Linked DNA regions of Saccharomyces cerevisiae S288C. The protein of the gene in region 2 purifies or fractionates together with the protein of the main gene of each other region. This does not show direct contact. Each region holds a gene or a part of one and is shown on either strand. Other genes may lie near its edges.

The links. The genes of interacting proteins can lie anywhere in the genome.
Region 1: the proteins of RCL1 (region 2) and UTP20 purify together in Saccharomyces cerevisiae (affinity purification with mass spectrometry; 3 studies listed by BioGRID). This does not show direct contact.
Region 3: the proteins of RCL1 (region 2) and DIM1 purify together in Saccharomyces cerevisiae (affinity purification with mass spectrometry; 2 studies listed by BioGRID). This does not show direct contact.

What each region holds. Positions count from the first base shown.
Region 1 is NC_001134.8:225,772-233,666, reverse strand, and holds the start of UTP20 (Utp20p), read right to left. Parts: upstream 6,032-7,895; coding exon 1-6,031. UniProt on the Saccharomyces cerevisiae protein: Involved in nucleolar processing of pre-18S ribosomal RNA and ribosome assembly.
Region 2 is NC_001147.6:306,140-309,541, reverse strand, and holds RCL1 (rRNA-processing endoribonuclease), read right to left. Parts: upstream 1,605-3,402; coding exon 501-1,604; downstream 1-500. Other genes in the region: ERMES complex subunit MDM12, read left to right, coding at 1-218; PLB3 (lysophospholipase), read right to left, coding at 2,133-3,402. UniProt on the Saccharomyces cerevisiae protein: Does not have cyclase activity. Plays a role in 40S-ribosomal-subunit biogenesis in the early pre-rRNA processing steps at sites A0, A1 and A2 that are required for proper maturation of the 18S RNA. RCL1 activates BMS1 by promoting GDP/GTP exchange.
Region 3 is NC_001148.4:37,431-40,608, forward strand, and holds DIM1 (putative dimethyladenosine transferase), read left to right. Parts: upstream 1-1,690; coding exon 1,691-2,647; downstream 2,648-3,178. Other genes in the region: PLC1 (phosphatidylinositol phospholipase C), read left to right, coding at 1-415; ACM1 (Acm1p), read left to right, coding at 739-1,368. UniProt on the Saccharomyces cerevisiae protein: Specifically dimethylates two adjacent adenosines in the loop of a conserved hairpin near the 3'-end of 18S rRNA in the 40S particle.

The sequences.
Region 1 (7,895 bases), on a different chromosome or scaffold from region 2:
TATGTTTTGAAACAAGTGCTTTTAGGAAATTAAAAGCAAGGCCTTGTCTGCTTGGTTCATTTAAATCTGGTAAGACCCTCCCTAGAACATAACTCAAAGCAGTATCCTTTAATGTTGAATCTGTGTGACGTATAAAGGCAGAAAGAAACTTTAAACCCATTTGGCATAATTCGCTTGAAGTTGAAGGAGAAACCTTGATAATATTTAGTACCTTCCTCGCACAGTTTTTGAAGATTTCACTAGATTCATCGGAAAAATCTAGCCTAATTAATGTAATCAGGATACGTAAAGTACTAATTACCACACCTTCATTTTCCGAAAGTAACGAATCTCTCAAAAATGGAATAAAACCCTCTAGGTGCGAGACAGTTAAAAAGGAGCGGTGTCTCGTTATTACGTTCCTAAGTAAGTCTAAAGCAAATTTTTGTAAAGTGCTGTTCAAAAGCAAACTGTTTGAGTTGATGGTATAAGATTTCGACTCCAAATTTACCAAGAAAAAGTCTTCTTTTTCATCTACTTGGTCTTTCACTTTTTTCTTTGGTATTTGAGGGGAATTACTCATTTCTGATTCCTGGAAAAGCTGATGGCAGAACTTGAGGATACTTTCTGACTCAGAGTCACTATTATGATTTAAACCCAACAAATATCGTCTCAATAATTCACTCAGTTTGTTTTGATTTCTTAGATTAATTCTGACCATCAACAAAGCCTTCACAGGAGAGAGTAATGTTCCAAATTCTGTCAGGCTGATGTTTGAGGCGAGAATTTCACCAGCATCATAGCTTTTATTACTCTTAATTTCTTTCACTTTTGTATGATAATTCTCAGAGTCTTTTTCTTCACCAGCGAACCCAAAGATATTTTCCATTATAATCTTAACAATCATACTGGACGAGGTATCCAAATCGGAGTGTTTTAAGACTCCGTGCATACTCTTTAATATGTAGTGGACAGTGTAACTTAACACATGAATTTGAGAACCACGTTTTAATGTAGCCATTAATTCCTTTATCACAAAGACAAGATACTCAGCGCCCAAGATAATACTGATTTTACCCAAGGTTACTCTTACTGCATCTCTTAATTCTTCGGATTTACTTCTCAAAACTTGGCAAATATTTGTTAGAATACTAGGGAGGAAATTAGTAATATCATCATTTGTGAGCCCTAAAACAATATTAACTAATGCCTCCGCAATAGGCATTCTTTCAATTATAGTTTCGTCATCTCTAGTGCCAAGAATTTTCGAAAGAGTCGGATACAATTCTTGCTTAATAAAATTACTGGGTTCATCTAAGTTGGAAGGAAATTTGCTCAAAGTAAGTTTCGACTCAGCCCCATCTCTTACGATACGAAGAGTTTCTCTAAGTGGAACAGAAAGTTGAACAATTAATTGTACGGCTTGCTTCATTTGGTTAGGCTTGGTTTTCAACATAGAAATGTACCTTCTAAGAAGAGCTTTGTATTGATTCCAACTCATGTGCTGCGCCAACCCTCCGATGGCTATTTGGGTCTCATTTCCAATATTTCTGTATCTTTCATCATCCGAAAAGACATAATGTTCGATCATTGGAATTAAATAATGGGATATACTGTTATCTTTGAGTTGATGAGCATGTTCACCTAGTCTTTTAATGGCTCTCTGACGACGATGAAGCTGAATATGATTAACGTTTGTAAAAAAATCTGCTTCTTCATCACCATTGTACAGTAAAATGGCCATATCTTCGAAGTCGGTGAAATATTTCGTGTTTTTTACCATATATGATAGCACTGATACATACTCACTTTGTACCTCTTCTAGGGAGTCTCTGAGGCCAATCCTTATATTGGGTAAAAGTATATCCTTCAGCATAGAAATCGATTTTGAAGCTTCATTAAGATTAGGCTTTTCGTTAATGAAGTCAATAAACTTCATTATAGCGTGGGATGCGTTTGTTCTTAACGCAAGTTCTTCCTTATTATTGATAAAATGTAAAAAGGTGAACAACAGAGGTAACCACTCTAACTCACTGTAGGACTTATAACCATCTTCAATTAACCCCTTGAAAGTTGATAAAATTCTAGGAAAATCATATTCATGCATACGTGATGAGGAGTATGAATTCAAGTCCGCAACCAATTTCGAAATACTTTCTAATTCAGGAACTTTTCTACCGAGTTCTATGAAGAGCTCTGTCAAGGAAACCCTGAGGTTTCGCTCGTCAAATGTTTTGAACAAAGAAGATATGGTAGTGTATAGTTCTTCAATATCACTCCAAGAACAATTGTAGTTGAAAACTATCAGCTTTAATATTTTCAAAATTTTTTGGGTATCATTTTCCTGCAGTTTTTTTAGCTTTCCTTTTAATATTGATATTAATGAACTAATTAAACGACTTCTAACATGATCATCTTGAATAAATCCCATCTCAGTGATACTAACTAGCAAATTCAAAAATGTGGAAATCGAGTTTGAGTCAGAAAGTTTGACATATAGCGAAGGAAGTATTTTCAGACATGATGTGCAGATGAGAGTCACCAAATCTACGTAGTGATCATCATTTACTGGATTTCTAATAATTGAGTCCGCCGCTTCAATTATTGGGCCAATAACAGCTTCCTTAACGTGTTGGTTTGATATGGTGTCCATCAATGCAGTGGCAGTTGCAAATTCATCGTAATACAAAAACTGGTACAGAGATGGATTGTGTGCCCAATAAAGGAAAAGTCTTAGTAAAGAGGAGGGTTGTTGTAAGTTTTCATCCGAAAAATGTGAAATACGAGGCTTAACTACAACGGCGTAAATATCTTCCATAGAAGTAGACCAATCAAATGTATTTCCAACAAATTCAAAGACACTACTTAAACATTTTAGACCTTGTTGCCTTAAATTACTTGCCATCTTTCTTAAATGTACCTCCTCTGTGCTCTCAGTATCTAAGACATAGTATGCCATAGCAATTGAATAGATCAACGGCTGCAGCACTGAATTAGTATGCAAAGGAAAATTTGTTCTTAATACAGACAGAGTAGAATTTACAATGTTAACGAAACCAGTCATCCGTCTGATAGTTTTCAAGGTAGCCTTTGAGCTATTTATTTGATGGCTGTTCCCAAAAAAATAATTATAATCCAGCCTTTCACTAGCCAAACTCAAAAAATCATTAATATATGGCTTCTTAAAATTTGGCAAAACTGAAATGACAGCTATTTTGCGGCTTCTTTTCTGTCCACTAGTTGGGGGGACTTGTGCTCGACCGAAGAAAATTCTAAGGACATAAGGCATGACTACCTTTTCGTCCTCAGCCTTGATAGACTGCGACCCATTTTCGGTTAAAAAAGTCGTAATCTCGTCCTTGAATAAGGTGTCATCTAGTAGATTTTTCAAATTATCTCTATATTTATTCAACGTTGGATTTTTGTATGCAAGAAGTGCGTCCAACGCAAGCTTCTGAACGTCTGTATTACGGCTACCCAACAGTACCATCAGATGATCGTGCAATTCTGTTGCACTATAAACATTCTTTATATTTTTGAACTTGCTTAAAGTCTTTAAAAACACGTTTCTATCAACTTCTGTCCATGAACCAGTAATAACACGTTCATTTTCCATATCCTCTTCATCTTTGTAAGTCTTGAAGTCATTATAAACAAAAGGTGCGATGTCGACGAAGTGATTTTCAGCAACTTGAGGAATCGATAGCATAACTTTTAGAGCCTGATTTCTAATTAAAATTGGGTAGGTGGTGTTCCCCCTTCTTTCAATAGTAGTAGATATAATGCTCGTATTTTGAGTAGAATACTTTGACCAAATATGTGAGAACGTATCAATAGTGTCCCTTAACCTCACTACACTCGAATCCCACAGAACTTTGTTTGCACCATCTTCAAGAAGAGGCTGGTAGTAATCCAAATTTTGATTTTCATCAGGAAGTTTAATGAATGATAGCACAAGTTTCCAAACGAGGGCTTCATCTTTTGTGTAAACATTAGGAAGAGTGTCAAAAACACCAGTCCAAACTGGAGAGAATCTAACGGTAAGAAGGCCAAATAAGTATTTGAGAAAGAAAGAGGATACTAGCTTGTCTGTTTTGGTTTTTCCGAATTCGGCACCAACATTCTTGATTCTAATGGTTAAATCTCTGGCATTTTGTAGTGTAAGAGGTATTTCCTCGATAACCATACATGAAGAAAGGAGGTCAGGTACTTGCATACCCTGCAAAATCATTAATGTCTTCATTAATTCTAAAGTTTCATAACGAATCTTCCCATCAGGCAACATAAAATTATCTGTCAAGCTAAGGAGTAGACTTGGATAGTGTGACATTAGTCCTTTTAAGCTTTCTGAAGGATGAAGATTACTCACTAACTTGTTCCATCCTCTTAAAAAGTTTAAACTTTCTTTATAGTTTTCGTAATTATCCAGAATAGTCTTTAATAGATTATTCCCTGAAGCGTCGTCTTCTTTACGATATATTTTTAAGAGTGTACCGACCATATCTTTCGTAAAATTATCTGGTGATGCAAAAGTTGAAAAGATACGTTCAAGCAATGGGATAATAATTTCTGTATTCTGTAATTTCGAATATTTAAAAATTATAGCTCGCCAATATATTTCGAAAAGGTCATTCGAATCATTAATTTCTGCTGTGACAAAAAAATCTCTGATAGATAAAATAAATTCTTCTGGGAAATTTACTTCCCGTACTTTCTGCAGTTCAGGCTTATCATCTACTTCTAGAAAAAAAAGTGCAATTTTTTTTCCTTGTGATTGCCAATTTTTCTTTAAAAATAACTGTAGGAATTTTAATCCATTGAATGAAAATACTCTTTCATAGCTTAGCCTTAAAGCAAATTGAAAGAATTCAAGGAAACAGTCAGATATATTTGTTAAAGCGTAGTTAAAAAGTTTTTGGTGGAATAATGTTAAAGTTTTCACGTCACTGTTACGAATAAATAAAGCAAATAGGAAAGCCACTTTATCCTGTGAAAGCGAAGCACAATTTTCACTTTGACTCATTATTCTTTCAATTAGGATAGTAATTTTATTCCAATCAGGAATTTTTCTACCACTTTCCGAGAAGACAATTGTTGTCAATACTTTTAATATTCTATCGATATTGGTGGCATCGAGAGAATCGTTAAAATCCTGATACATAACTTCATAGACTGGAAGTAAACTTTCGATTGAGGCGTACTTACTAATGTTCATCCAAATATCTGAGAGCAATGAAACAGATCTTTCCGGGGATGATTTGGTCAAAGCTTCATGCAAAAGAACGCTCATGATAGCTTTAGCTTTCGAATGCAGAGTTTCTTGCGTTGACGTCATGGATTCTGTGAATAATATCAGAAGCCCTTCGTAGAGGTTAGTTTGCTCATCATCTCCCTCTAACTTTTCAAAAACTGATCTAACAAACTCGCGCAAGTTAGAAACAGGACACTTTCTTACTAAAAAAGATAATGCTTCTGCTGAAAATCTTGAAAGATATTCCTTAGAATGAGACAATAGTGGAATTAAAAGATCACATGTGAGTACCAGTTTTTTAACCAAAAATTTCGAGAGATACTTGAAAATATAAGCCAAACAGTTGAAACCCCACTCAAAAACATTAGATGACTCAAATTCTATAGCAGCGTCTAACAGATTTATTAAAGTTTTGATAGCTTCTTCATAAAATTTAAGAAAATCTGGACCTAAATCATGACAAAATTGAGCCAAGAGGTCCAGAAGCGGTTGCAAAGAAAACTCATCGTGAAAGTTAATGAATGAAACCAAAGAATTAAAAATCTTTTTATCATGATATAGTATTTGGGGTAATGTTTGAACATCATGCTCAATTTCCGCTGCAAACTCCGTAAATTTGGCACTTAAATTAATTTCTTTCCACTGATCAAAGGAAGCGAGAAAATGCGACGACTCGACATAATCATGTACCCTTTTTTCCAAATTTCTAGCCGGTTCAATCTTCAAATCGTCAATCCTAGCCTTGAAGGAAGAATATCTATATCGCTTAGACGATTTAGTAGTTTGTCTTTGTTTAGCCATACTTTCAATGAAATATGTGTAACTGATACTAGAAATATACCAATACGGCCAACAACGTAAAACTGGATGTAAACAGGAAAGAATATGATCTTTAATTTACAACCTACACTACCTGTTTAATCGGTGGTTTTTACGCTACCAAATTTAATAATGCAACTTTTCAATGCTCATCGGTAAAAATTTTCGGAAAGACATAAACTCAAAATTTTTTCTTTACAAAAGTCCGGGTGACATTACATACATACGCCTTCAAAACACTACCTTAGAAAATGAAGCGAGAGGTACATTTCATTAGCTTTAAATGAGCCAGGAAGAAATACACTGCAGCCGATATAACTCATATAGCATACTTTTAACGGGTGATAAGTCGTTACGAAGAAGGCCAAGTTCTATGCCAATCTTTTAATAAAACATAAACGTGATGCTTTTACCACGTATTCCATTGACTTTACGTACTCTTATTACTGTCCAAAAAATAACGACAACTGCAGGACTCGAACCTGCGCGGGCAAAGCCCAAAAGATTTCTAATCTTTCGCCTTAACCACTCGGCCAAGTTGCCTCGTTTTACATGATATCATAACTTACCAGAATAAATAAACCGTCATTATGAATTATCTATAAATATCAAACATGTATGAAACTGGGAATTCTGATAAATTTTGTCATAACTGTTGGGATTCCTGAGAAATGGGGGAATGTTGAGATAATTGTTGGGATTCCATTGTTGATAAAGGCTATAATATTAGGTATACAGAATATACTAGAAGTTCTCCTCAAGGATATAGGAATCCTCAAAATGGAATCTATATTTCTACATACTAATATTACGATTATTCCTCATTCCGTTTTATATGTTTCATTATCCTATTACATTATCAATCCTTGCACTTCAGCTTCCTCTAACTTCGATGACAGCTTCTCATAACTTATGTCATCATCTTAACACCGTATATGATAATATATTGATAATATAACTATTAGTTGATAGACGATAGTGGATTTTTATTCCAACATACCACCCATAATGTAATAGATCTAATGAATCCATTTGTTTGTTAATAGTTTGAATGTTTTTATCGGAAGAGGTTTGGTCATTACGTCTGCAATATTCTTTTTGGTTTCGATATAGCATACGTGCAGATGATTTCCTGATACTTCATCTCTCAGTCTCATTGCTTTAGTACCAAAAAATCTGTTTCTAAATTTCTCTTCATTATTGGATATAATTATACTGATTGTAGATTTACTGTCGGTTAGTAATCCTTTGGTAATTGGTTTCTTGTCGAGTTCTTGTATCAGGTAACTTAGATTATTTAATAATGGGACAGATTCACTTATTGCGTGTATTTCTGCTTCCGTGGTTGAAGTACATGTTAATGAAGCCTTGGTGGACTTTCCTCCAATTACTTTTCCATTAAGTAAATATATGTTGCCAATTTGTGATTTATAATACGGTTGGTTACCATACGAGGCATCGCTTATAACAACTAATTTATTTGTTGGCTTAACAGGTTTGCTTTTGTGCCATATTAATTGCTTATCTCTCGTATTCCATATGAACTGTATCAATTCATATGTCATATCTAACACTTGCTTGGACGGAAATAGTATATGTTGTGCAAGTGTGTTGATGTAGTATAATAGGTCAAATCTAAATTTATATCCAACATATGATGCTAGACCTATCAGCTTTTGCATTTCATGTACCTTCATTTTGTAATCATCTTCTTCTAGCTCTAGTTCTTGCTGGTCTATATATAGACCTGGTTGACCTGGAGCGCTAAGTTTCCTTCCTTTTGGGTTCAAAGGTACGTTTAGTTTGGGTATTTTTTCAGTTAATGAGTTTTCCATACCCAATTTCA
Region 2 (3,402 bases):
CAATTCTGGCAGCTACTAAGCCATTGGAGCGAATATCCATTGTGAGAAGTATGAAGATTGAAACCGAAATAGGGGAACAATATCAGGGACAGGGCTCAGTATTAAGAAGTGTTGGAGAACTAGAACAGTTTTTGTTTACGATATTCAAAGATTTTTTAAGAAAGGAGTTAGCATGGCCAAGTTGGATTAATCTGGATTTCAACGATGGTGATGAGTAATTTAACAAAGATAGTTTGAAAATAGTGTCTACATAAAAAAACAAACATTTTTGAGCTGGAAAATTATATTTTGTCATGAAGTAATCTATTCTTAACGCGCTTTTCGCATACGCTCTTTGATGATATTTTAGATGACCCAAAAGAGTTAAAGGAAATCATCAATGATCCTCCAGTAATCTTATACTCTAGACAGTTGTCCGTGAAGTTACACCTAAATAATCATATATATATATATAACTTATATACAGTGGTCTAATATCTATTGAATAATATTAGAACATGCTATGCAATCTTTTTGCTTGTGTTTGTGAAACCAATACCCTTGATAGTAGCTATCATGTCTTCATTATCCGCCTCGTCAACTGGTTTTAAAAAGACTTCAGTATTAAAGATCTTCTTAATATCTCTCAAGAGGATTATGAATCTTTCGTCTATCTGTTCCTTATTAATTCTCAATCTGCCGATATCTTCTTTCCCGATGACCATGTAAACAATTGCTAATGGAAGCTGGTTTCTACCAACTGCTGCACTCTTTGATATTTCTTCTAATAATTGACAGGCAACTTTTTCACCAAGTTCTTCAGGTATAGAACCTGCATCACCGATATCTTCTGCAAAATAACTCCAACCTTTCTGCTTGGACTGAGCAACCAAAGTAATACCCCAGCCTGGACTCTTCCCTGAATTTTCACCTCTCCAGACATCTGCCGTTATGTTAACTTCGCATTGCAGATTTTTCAATACCTTCTTAGCACCATCGATCATTCTATTCACAAGCGACGGACTTACTCTGGTAGAGTATGCTACACCGGTAATCGATGAAATTATGGGCCTATCTATTTCATGCATAGTTATAGGTTGCGCAATCAAAGAATCAACAACCAAATGCACTTCGCCACCTCCTAGTGGTGGTGAACCTCTTTTCAAAGTATGTAGGGCGCACTCTCTAACGCCAAATTTTTCCATAACGGGCATGAGTCCCCATTTGATAGCTTCAATACCGGCATCGTTGTGAGATGCAGTTATGCCTTTGAATAATATAGAAAATTTCTTTTTTGAAAATGGAGCCAAATATAGCATTGGTTCGACGAAATAACCTACCGGTTTGGAACTAGGGCAGATATGAGTTGATGCACCACCAACTATGATACCGGGCCTATAAATCACAGTAGTACCGGTATAAGAAATTTCAATTACACTCCCGTTGGTGACCGACTCGATCAGCCTTAGAAAAGACACTTCATAATCTTTCAGACCGGGATTTAAGTCGCCTGAACGGATTTTTTCAATTTTTATTGGTTTCCCTGATAATGTTGCCAAGACGATCCGTAACCTAAAATTTTGTGACCCTTGGAAAGTGGTGTATTTGGGGGCGGAAGATGACATTGCTATACTTTTGGAGGATTATCCTAGTGGAAAAGTGTTGACAATGGTGAAGCTTGACAGATGTTATACCCTTACAACATACGTAGCTTATGAAGGCTCATCTCATCGGCACTTTTTTGCAAATTTTTCTGAAATTTTTTCAATCTCGAGTCCGTGAAAAATTACATTACCAATATGGCGAGGGTAATTCTGACATCCTCCTTCAAAGTAAGTGCAAGTAATAAAAGCAACTTGACTACCCATTTAAAGTATTAATACGCTTTGCGCGGGGTTATAATTATAAAGTTATATCTTTTAAAGAAGAGGTCTGCTATATATAGACCTCCGATGTCATTAGTGAAGTTCCTTAAACATGGTCTTGCCCGAAAGGGATGATACTTCAATGCAAAGGGGAAATGCTCATTTTCTTTTTTTATTTTAGTTTTTTAGTGATTTTGCTAGTCTTTCAGCTTTATGTTTCGTTATTTTATAGTGTAGTTCTTTGATTTTTATTGCCTCATTTTGTATACCGTTATTACGCAAGAGATATTATACTGCTCCGGTAAACATCAATAAAGTAAGCATAATCATAGCAGAGAACTTTACACTTATGCCAGATAAATGTGATCCAGAATTAGTAGCTGCCTTTTTCTCAAGGGTTGCAGTAGCCGAAGGAATTTCCGAAGACGAAGATGAAGACGATGATGAAGACGATGACTGGGAAGCTGAAGATCCGGCGTAAAGACTTTCTTCTTGTCCTATGGAGCTGTTGAAGCTATTGACGTTGATAAAGGAGTGGTGAACATCCTTTTCAACATCTGGTAATGGGGTAGTATCCAGGGTACCATTCCAGCAATAATTTTTAAAACAGGTTTCACATTCCGGAGGCAAAGTAATATTCAAAGCTTGTTGCTTACGTCTAATGATGGCGCAGCCGACGCAGCCCATGAATTCAGGATCATCAGTGAAGTTGTTCCTAGTTGCAATTTCAAACCCGTTTTGAATCATACTTCTTCTTTGGGATTCGGAATATGATAGCTTGAACGCGCTCTGATTACTATTGAAAGAGTATTCTGCATTTGGCAGATAAACAACTAGAGGTGGAATATATTGAAGATCGGTCAAATTATTAGCATCGCAACCGAAGAAGGTTGGTTTCTTGTTCAAACCCAAATTAACGAATGTATTCGTATCTGGAACATATGGGAAGGACATACCTTGACCTTGCTTAACGAATTGACGCTCATAGGTATGGACTAAAGAAGAACCGTCAGGCCAAGCCAATCTCATATCGGCAGAATTATCTACCGCAAAAATAATGTCCACATCACGTTCCTTTTGTATAAGCGGTAACACAGGAACATTTTCGTCGTCTTCACCGCCGTCAACTAAGAATAGGCTGTCTGAATCAACAATACTTGTCGTATAGTCACTATCCAAAAACTTCGTGTCTTTAAATGGATTAGGACTGTAAACAGCGATATCATTAAAATCTTGAGATAAATCCTTTAGAAAATGTCTTGCTAATCTTGTGATGAAACTAGGTAAGTGAGTGGAGTTTATTCTCAAAAGAAACTGGTTAAATAAGGTGGAGGAAGTACCCATGATAAAACCTGCATTATCAAAGCCTGCGGTACATTTTCCCCTTTCCAATGGTACACCATTGGAGACATTCGTTCCAAGGTACTTAACGTTGGCAAAAGAGTTCAAAGAGGGATCCCAGGATCCCATTTCAAAGGGATTAAATTCAAAAACCGTTGCGTTCAAATTGATGACTTTTGTTCCAGGATACCTACCGTCCGCAACAGAAATTGGAAAA
Region 3 (3,178 bases), on a different chromosome or scaffold from region 2:
TGTTACTGTTAAAATTCGAATTTTATCTACACAGTTATTGCCCAGATTGAATGATACATCGCCAAGCAGAAATAACACCAATTCCTTTGTTAAAGTGGAGTTTCATACCGATGACGAGCCGACAATGCCCATCTCAATCGATAAGGGTACAAGGATTTCTGCCACTGAAGCATCCACTAAGAGTTCTCAAGGGAATGGATTCAACCCAATATGGGATGCTGAAGTTTCTATCACATTGAAAGATACAGACCTCACATTTATAAAATTCATGGTTATCTCTGAAGAGACCCAGATTGCATCTGTTTGCCTTAAGCTGAACTATTTGAGGATGGGATATCGTCACATTCCGTTGTTTAACATGGAGGGGGAACAATACATATTTTGCACTTTATTTATTCATACACAAATTTTATAGGCGATCTTTTTCCGGCCAAATACACATATTCATAAATACGTACATATACCTACTTGCATATACCAACATGATTACCTAGAATGGATATATCAAATGGGACGACGAAGTACCACGACAATACACAATAACAACTTCTGTTTTTCGCTGATTGCCTTCTCTTCAGCAGAAAGTTGATGCATATTTCGCGTAGCGCGTTGACGCGTCTTCTTTCTGAAGTTTTGTGCTTTTGTTATCATACTATATAAAGTAAAAAGAAAGGAGAACATATTAAGCATTACTGAATTAGGATCCTTTGGAAGAAATAAAGTAAGAGACACTGAAAGATGATATCACCATCAAAAAAGAGAACCATTTTATCAAGCAAGAATATAAACCAAAAACCACGAGCAGTGGTAAAAGGCAATGAACTTCGTTCACCATCAAAGAGAAGGTCACAAATAGACACAGACTATGCACTAAGGCGAAGTCCAATAAAGACAATCCAAATTTCTAAAGCTGCACAATTTATGCTGTATGAGGAAACGGCTGAAGAAAGAAACATAGCTGTCCACAGACATAATGAAATATACAATAATAACAATTCTGTGAGCAATGAGAATAATCCTTCCCAAGTAAAAGAAAACCTTTCACCCGCTAAAATTTGCCCTTATGAAAGAGCATTTTTAAGGGAAGGAGGAAGAATTGCATTGAAGGACTTAAGTGTTGACGAATTCAAAGGTTACATACAGGATCCTCTCACCGATGAGACTATACCACTGACGTTGCCACTGGGTGATAAAAAAATCAGCCTACCCAGTTTTATAACGCCGCCAAGAAATTCGAAGATATCTATTTTCTTCACTAGTAAACACCAAGGACAGAACCCAGAGACAAAGATATCCCGTTCTACCGATGACGTCAGTGAAAAAAAAGTAGTGAGAAAACTGTCCTTCCACGTCTATGAAGATGAGTAAATAATGTACACAGTTAGCGTCTAATAATTAATTAACGATACCAATTTAATTCATTCACGTATTCCTCACCTCGTGTGTAAATTACTAACAGAGTAGTAATAATAATAAGAATCAATAATAATAATAAATCCATCCTTGTGTATTACCCGGGTTAGAGGGTAGAAAAATTTTTGAAAATCGCGATGAGCTGAAAATTGAAAATATTTGGTTATAACATAAGATCGATAAATTAGGAACAGTGCATTATACAGTGGACTCATTCGGTTAGAAGCTTTAGACGTCGTACCTTTTATATCGATACAAATAAAAATAAAATTATACCATGGGAAAGGCTGCGAAAAAGAAGTACTCCGGAGCAACTTCGTCCAAACAAGTCTCTGCCGAGAAACATTTGAGTTCAGTATTTAAATTCAACACAGATCTAGGTCAGCATATTTTGAAAAATCCTTTGGTGGCGCAAGGTATTGTTGATAAGGCACAGATTAGACCCTCAGATGTTGTTTTGGAGGTTGGTCCTGGTACAGGTAACCTAACTGTAAGGATCCTCGAACAAGCAAAAAACGTAGTGGCAGTAGAAATGGATCCCAGAATGGCTGCAGAATTAACTAAGAGGGTACGTGGCACACCTGTGGAGAAAAAGTTAGAAATCATGCTTGGAGATTTTATGAAGACTGAATTACCATACTTTGATATCTGTATTAGTAACACTCCTTACCAGATCTCATCGCCTCTGGTTTTCAAATTAATTAACCAACCAAGACCACCAAGAGTATCTATTCTTATGTTTCAAAGAGAGTTTGCTTTAAGATTACTGGCAAGACCAGGTGACTCATTATACTGTAGATTATCCGCCAATGTACAAATGTGGGCTAATGTTACACACATCATGAAAGTGGGTAAGAATAACTTCAGACCGCCACCACAAGTGGAATCCAGCGTTGTTAGACTAGAGATTAAAAATCCAAGACCGCAAGTGGATTACAACGAATGGGATGGTTTGTTGAGAATCGTCTTTGTGAGGAAAAACAGAACGATTTCAGCTGGCTTCAAATCGACCACCGTGATGGACATTCTGGAGAAGAATTATAAGACATTTTTGGCGATGAACAACGAAATGGTGGATGATACAAAGGGTTCTATGCACGATGTCGTCAAGGAAAAGATTGACACAGTTCTGAAGGAGACCGACTTAGGCGACAAAAGAGCGGGTAAATGTGATCAAAATGATTTCCTAAGGCTATTATATGCTTTTCACCAGGTTGGTATCCATTTTTCATGAGCTCTCTTATCAATTATGTAAGTGCTTGTATACTATTTACCTAAGATAAGAAAAAAAAAAGCAATTCAAAATTAAGCTTATCTTGACAGCGGGGCTGGTTTGTTTCTAGAAGACAAAAAGTGGGGAATCATTTTTACGTAACTCCCCCTGATAAGAAGGACTCACATCCTTATAGGTACGATAAAGAATGGTTGTATCTTTCCTATTTTTCGAAATCGTTATCTTATATAGTTGAACTACTACGGTTAAAAAGCTTAAGCCTCAGCCCTCTTAGTCAAACTTCTTTTTTGAAGGCACCAGGGTGCATAAAAGTGCGTCTATTGTTTCCCAGTGGAACTCTGTTGAGATAGCGATGTTTGTTTTTTTTTCACTTAACGGCAACCAATACCGATAGCGACGTCGCTGGCAGTGTAGAGTGGCCGTACGGCGTCGCTAGATGGCACGGCACTGATTGCGGCGGGAGTCGCTAGGCGGTGATGCATTTCCGCACAGGGACCAGAGGAAGCTTCCCAGGCGGTGACAGTAAGTGAA